2 linked regions of the Bombyx mori genome follow. The protein of the gene in region 1 interacts with the protein of each later gene in a pairwise test. Links are inferred from orthologs where the notes say so. Each region holds a gene or a part of one and is shown on either strand. Other genes may lie near its edges.

Region 1 (3,840 bases):
ATTCGTGAACGGACAGAAGTAAAAATATCGGGCTATACTCATAAACCATAATAATATGTGTGTCAGGGAAGTAAAGCCTACATCATCCGGTATTTTTATTCTATTATCTTACCACAGATGCTGTCGTGTGACCGGAACAAAAACATTATTTTACGAAAAGCTTATTGGACTAGCGCAAAAAAATTTACGAACGTGTCAAATATATGGGTTCGATGTTATTACACGACGTACATACACATTTATTTTGCTTAGAAAGTAAACCGCAAGTGTCCTACAAGGATTTGAATCACGTTTCACATAGAAACGTCGTTTGAGACTAGGGTGTCTTATCCAATAAGAATCGATCATCCGATCCCTCAAATGAGAATATTGCATTACAACAATACGTCATTAAGAAAAAAAAACCTTTTTAAGTTTCGAATTTTATACAGACCGACTCAGTTGAGTTCATTACCCCTAAACGAACACCTGCGTGCCTTATTAAAAGACATTTTGCCACGAATTTAGAGAATGTGATATGAAACATTCCCTTGCGCTCAATTAGAAAACGTACGTAATATAACCTCTGCCTTAAATACTGACGTTGTTTCAGAGAGTAGTAGATGAAATACGACCCTTCTGTCTAAAAATAGTCATTCTAATTTAGTTTAGCTATTTTTAGAATTCCATTGCCGTATTAATAAGCAACCTATAGTTGTAGGCAAATCTTCATTGGAAAGGGGAGCGTCCGGCGGCAGCGAAGCTCCCGCAACAAATTGGACACTCTTCTTACAGACAGGCTATTTCACTGGAAATAATTTAGTTATAGTATTGTTTATGTGACGTGAAATTTGAAAATTTTCTCTCATACTAATTCGTTAAGGAGCACAAAATGTTTTAAATAAATGTTTTGTGCTTTTATTTGAAGCACTTTCTTTTCTATTTTTTTTTTATCTATGCTGATGGTCTAGAAAGACAATATCAGCATCACCGGGCTAGTAGGTGAGCTCACGGGGCTAAAACCGGACGATATTACTAACACGAACCCTCGCAAGCGCCGTGCTTCGTAGAATCTACCACCGGATCGGAAACGCGACCCACTGAGAAGATCCGGCGAGAAACTCAGTGGGCTGTGTCTGTGGGTTATTTCTAAGGGATAATTTGCTTCGCTTGTAAATCATCGGATAGATCTTTTCTCTAAATTTTCAATCACTTCTTAGATTTAATGGTCGGTGACCCTGATCACCGGTAAACGGATTTCTGGTTGGAGACTAAATATTAGGATTCGAAATCCCTGTATTGGTGTAGTTTAATAATCTTATTTCAGTAACAGAAACTTTTGTTTCAGTGTGAGCGGTGCCATTGGCCAATTTGAATGTTTTTTATTTGCATATTATTATTTACGTAGATGAATGGACAAGCTCTCGGCTCGTGTGATGTGAAATAGTTACTATAGCCTATAGATAGACGTAAATGCCGCCACCCACTTTAATACGTTAGTTCTAACTCCCAGTTCTACAACAAGTGTTATATTTATACCTCACATAAATCTGGCTAGTTTAGTTATGCCTTTCTGTATTTCTTCCTTTTTTCGTCACACACCAACACTTAATGTTTAATTATCTGCCTTAGATACCTCCTAAATTATCTCTATTGATTTTATGGCAGCTCTATTTTCAGACGTTACTAAAATATATATAAATATTTTTAACATATCTGTTCGAAACGGAGGTCCCATCTTATAATCATTGACTTTGGTGCAAAATCGATAAATACAACACACGAAAATAGAAAAAAATCAGCCTATCTAAATTTTTCACAACAATGTATCCATGCTATTTTTCTTCCATTCAATGGTTGGAGTGATGATCGACTATCAAACACATCATTACTGTGGTTCTCGTAACGACATAGGGACCCTCTTGAGAATATTTCAATGATGTAAACGACGCTATGATAATGCAGCTTGAATAATGACGGTCGCGAAGAGCGTTACTGAAATATTTTATCTAGTGATGTATCGGGTAATAATGTCCGTACAAAGGTGAGCAAGTAATGGATGCGACACAAATCTTGAGTAAAAAAATAAACAGTATTGCCATAAATAATGTTCAACGAAAATATATTTTTTAGAGTTCTGTTCCAAAAGAGTAAAATGGACTCTAACATAATTTCTTTGCTGTTCGTCCGTCCATCTGTCTGTCCTACACTTAAATCCGTTCTTCTGAGAAACAACCAGAAGTGTTAAGTTGAAATCATTATCAGACGGTAAGACTTATGGCAGAAAAAGCTAGAAAGTTTCAAGCTTCTCAATCAACGAAATTAAAAGAAATAGCCCTATTTTGTCCCTTTTACCCGTACCTACATGGACTTTGTCACACTTTTAGCGCAAATGAAGGGAACATTCGAAAAATAATATTAATGTTTGTCTTGTTGAAACAAAAAATACTTTTTTGTCGCACACACCGCATACTCAACAAACCTCTTACTAGAAAGTAGTTTTAATATTTGCCTGTCACATACAAACACGTGAAATCGCCAACCATAGAGTTACTGTTGTAGGTACTTATTAACTCCATGTCGCCAACACAATGGGTGTCTTACGATTACATTGCAAGTGTCAAGGACATGAAAAATCAAACTTTCCATGGATACTCTGTTTTAGGAAAAAAAAGTTTCGGAGCGAAATGGTGAAAAACCTGTTATGGAGAATGTTTGAAAAAATGAAACAAAGTCACTGAACGTCTCGTGTACTGTAAAAAATTTCATTAACTTCATTTCCCACAATTTCTTGAGAAATCATCTCATATAATCTTGTTCAACACTTACTGTGTTCTCGCTTCACATGATCCGATTACATTAAATTATAGATATGTTTATAATTCCACAGTTTCCCAGCAGTTCTGTTTTCGACCTTTGTTGTAAAAAATTTAGATAAATCGTCTAGTTTCTCTTTGCCTGTCCAATGTACATACATAACAAACAAACAATTATTCGTCTTCATCAAATGTCAAGTCTAAGATCCTATGATGTCGTAAATGGCGTAAAATTGAAGATTTAAAAAAAATTTACAAAAGATTAAGCTGTACGTTGTGATATCTCTGCCTTTACTGTTGGAAAATAGAACTCACTGTCAAGTCTCTGTAACATCAAGTGTCAAAGCATAATTTTCAATTTACATTAGAAACAAAATTCTAGCTAAAAGAAAATTTAAATACAAAAAAATACTTAAAAGAGTATCTAATTTACAATCCACATCAAAATGTCTAAAAGCGAAATTTTGTACGTTAGGGGAATGAATATAGCGAGTATCATATTCTAAAATATAAATTTTTACTTACCTACCTTTAAAATAACAACCGATTTTACTGTTTGATTTCAGTCTGAAACTGAAGAAGAAGAAGAGGAAGATGTGTGGGACGACAAGAAATTGAATGATGCGTACGACAAAGCACTGAAAATGGCAAACGCTGAAGTCGCAAAGAGAGTAGCAATGTCTACTAATACAGAGCATGGTAACAAAGGTATCATATTTAATACTTACCGCAAGCTATCTATTAATAATAATTTAAGATGCAACTATTTTGCCGCAGCTTGGCAGTTGCCAACATAACATAGCTGCACAGTCACATGCAATTTGTTAACTTTAACAAGTTTATTGTAAAATATGTGGAATGTATTTGTATATATAGTAAATAAATGTGTAACAGGTAGCTATGACGCCTGAACCTCGCCAACAACATTTTCGAGATACATTTGATATACAAGTTTTTAGGTTTATTATTTTTTTCTTACATATTGGTTACCTTTACCTTTATTGGTTACCTTTTTACATTATTGGTATAAACAAGTTTCAAACAA
Region 2 (3,525 bases), on another chromosome or scaffold:
AAATGCTTTTTCTTACCCATTGCATCCACTGATGATTGAACGAAACAGTAGTGGTAGCCTATCCCGATGCCCATGATGGTGACGGTTAGAATGGTCAGCATCAAACAACATGTTAGCATTGCGCATACTGTCCACAATGATACTCTGATAAAAGAAGTCGTTTTATGTATGTAGGTATATCAACAAGAAAAAAAAAATCTGTACTCATTGACAAATTCTTGATCGTCATTTAGAATTTTTATATGAAAACAAGTTTGACATAAAAATTACCTTTCCAGGGCATCAAGAATTATGGATACAAAAGAACTTAACGAGCAACATACACAACCCATTTTGATTCATTAAACATAAAATTTTAAATGATTAGGAGTACAATCAACTACATTTCATGAAATCATTTGTCAATCCATTTGATATTCAGATAAATAAGCCAACAATTTTTAAAATTCTGCAAACATGATTTTGTTATCATCCAACAACGAAAACGTATTGATTATGATTGCTTGTTGTTTGTCAGCATCGGTGACACAAGTCAACAGGCTTAAAACACTAATTTCCTATTTTTGCATCAACTTTAGCATCAACCTTGCTATAATCCGATACATCGATTTAATAAATTATTATATTTATATTTTGATAGTTATATAAAAGCTTAATTTAAAATTAATGTTTAAAATAATTATATTATATTATTAATTATCGATTTTATGAAAAGTTGAGTTTGTTTTGGATTACAAAATTAAAATTAAGCAAGTCAGCTTTGTTAATTATTTTTACTAAACATCCTCGTTTGTCGGTATGTATGGCGACATTTGTGTTGTTGATGTCTATGAGCTCCAGTAACCACTCAACACCAGACGAGCAGTGAGCTCGTCCGTCCACCTAAGCAAAAAAAATGCACTACAATTATTAAATGATATTAGCTTGTTGGCTGCGTTAAATTATTGTTGCCAATGTCGAGTTTATAGGAATCTTCAATTGTGTACGTTTAATTTAGGTACGTAATCTGTTATGTGAAAAATGATATGAAGCGAAATGAGATGAAGTGTTCTAATTTGCAACTCTAATCAAATGGAATGAAATTAAATGAAACAGCTAACAAGCCACCGTTATTACAGATTTAAACCTAAAGAAACACTTAATTAACAAAATAACACAATTCACACAACTCTCTCCTCTCATTCCCGCCAAAGATTCTTCAGGTAACATCATCCAAATAATCACGTAAGTGGCGATGACAAAAGTTATGGAAATTAATTGATTTCGTTAATTTTGTATTTTTCAGGTTTATTTAATTAGGTACCTATGTTGGTAGGTACCTAGTGACTTTTCTATTAAACGGTTTGATTTGGCATTATGTCAGTTTTGACACCTGTCAATATTCAGAGGTTATAAATATTATGGCAGATGTGATGGCAGATCCTAACAGTCTACAGAAGAAAGAAGAAACGAAGAAAAAGCAAAAACGCTATCCTAATAAGAATTATGCTCTTAAAAAGCGTTTACCACCTAGGCCAGTAAATGGAGACAATGTGTTGTTTATTACGAAGAAGACGAACTTTAAAGTAAAACCGAAAAACATCAAAACATCCCATTATACTATGTAAGCACTGATATTAAATATTTCTTAATTTACAGGCACAACTAGATAAATGTTGCGATTTACTAACAAGAGGAGAAAAGGAGATAATACTTCATGGTCTAGGCGCGGCAATACAGAGATGCTGTAATTTGGCACTTCAGCTGGAAATTCTATTTTCAGGCACCTGTCAAATCGAAGTAAACACTGGATCTGTAGACCTAGTTGGTGAGTTACCAAATTTCCTGAAGTTATATAGTGAGCAACAAATACTAAGTATACCACTCCAGTAACTATATTCATTTGAATGGTTTTGTCAAATCTAACTTACAATAAATACATCGGAAAAATAAATCTATCATATCTTTGCTTATATGCCATTAATCTTTTACAGATGATCTAGAGCCACTGACTGATGAACTAGATTTTGGCTCACAAATACGACATTCATCATCCATCCACATAAGAATATTTAGGACAGCAATGCTCGGATCTAATCAAAACTAGTGAAAGGGTGATAATGTTTTTTACACTAAATGAGATTGTGCAATGGATTGGACTTACTGTATTTGAAATATGGATCAATCTTATAACGCTCACTATATTTTCTGTACTGTTAGCTCTTAAAATTGATGGTGTATTGAATAGTGCATGGTGGACAATATTTGCACCTTTGTTTGTGAGTGATGCGATGAATGCATACTTTTGCTGTATTGTATGCATAAGAATGAATCTGGAAAATTCTTATAAAGCTTCTTTATATAGAGCATCTTGGAGTGGAATATTTTTAGGGCTAACATTTGTTTTCAAATTTTTACTTTGTAGAAAACTACAAGGTGATTCGGCTATAGAATACAGTGAAGTTTTTGCACCATTATTTATATTGTTACAATTGATAGCAGTACGTGCATGTCAATTACATCAATAACATTCTTAACCAAAAGATGCTCTTATATTTATGGACATAAATATTGTTGTACTATAATCATAATTATATCTGTATGTTTCATTTTTTTCAAGTAAACTGACAACTACGCTATTGTAAATAAGCTTTGTAGCATAATCTGACTGAGACATACAAATAGAGAGCTATTTACTTATGTTACTTTGAAAATGTTTACACCTGAAACCAAAACACATTTTAAATTCATATCCATTTGTTTCTGATTTTTTTGGCCATTTATGACATAGCAATAAAATTTAAACAACTAATTAAATACTATTTTTTATTCAAAACCTCAAGACTCATATTCTTTTAATGATTTTTTTATATAATGTGACTGTTTGAGATTAAAGGCTGTATAATTATACTTTCTGTCTTTGCCTATGTACCATAAAGTGCTATTTGCACAAGGTAAACTTATTAAGTACGTATTTCAATAGAAAAATTGGTACCCGCCTGCGGGATTCGAATTTCGAACATCGAGACATCGCTACATACGAATGCACCAGACGTCTTATCCTTTAGGCCAGGACGACTTCAAAATCGCCTCGACGGCCCGTCGGTCTGGCGTCCTCGGGGGTGGCGCCGCGTGTCTGGTTGTAGTGTTGACCGCGGGAACCCCCCTAGTCTGACCGGGTTCTGACTCCGGACGGAGATCGGACGTCGGGTGTAAGAGTGCAGGGGGTCGCTTAGTGCGGTAGGGCCCATAAAATTCCTTAGCCGCGGTCTGCTCCCAAGACCTGCAGATCAAGTCCCACATACCCCGCGCGCCAACTAGGCGCGGGGACCTCGTGGGAGATTGGCCTTCGGCCCGAAAAAACAAGAGTAATGACTAGTAAGATTTAAACATCTAACATCATTGATCTATTGGACAAAACTTGTTTCAAACTTCACATAAAAAGTACATAAAATAATGTAATCAGTTTGATTTTCTTGCAAAGGCAAAGGCTGTAACACTTTTCTCATGAATGTATAGATGCTTTAGTTTTGATATAATTGTAAA

Evidence for each region.
Region 2: the proteins of survival motor neuron protein (region 1) and Tm interact in binary tests that used the Drosophila melanogaster proteins (3 or more experiments, as listed by UniProt). The link is inferred for Bombyx mori from reciprocal best matches to the Drosophila melanogaster genes Smn and Rpp20.

The regions. Positions count from the first base shown.
Region 1 is NC_085127.1:12,736,949-12,740,788, reverse strand, and holds part of survival motor neuron protein, read left to right. Parts: intron 1-3,361; coding exon 3,362-3,503; intron 3,504-3,840. UniProt on the Drosophila melanogaster protein: Core component of the survival motor neuron (SMN) complex that plays an essential role in spliceosomal small nuclear ribonucleoprotein (snRNP) assembly in the cytoplasm, is required for pre-mRNA splicing in the nucleus and acts as a chaperone that discriminates target and non-target RNAs of Sm proteins.
Region 2 is NC_085114.1:11,855,109-11,858,633, forward strand, and holds Tm (Tm protein), read left to right. Parts: upstream 1-1,565; 5' UTR 1,566-1,566; intron 1,567-1,637; 5' UTR 1,638-1,638; coding exon of another isoform or gene 1,639-1,807; intron 1,808-1,973; coding exon of another isoform or gene 1,974-2,086; 5' UTR 2,087-2,099; coding exon 2,100-2,507; 3' UTR 2,508-2,796; downstream 2,797-3,525. Other genes in the region: uncharacterized protein LOC101739983, read right to left, coding at 17-144, 271-332. UniProt on the Drosophila melanogaster protein: Component of ribonuclease P, a protein complex that generates mature tRNA molecules by cleaving their 5'-ends. Also a component of RNase MRP complex, which cleaves pre-rRNA sequences.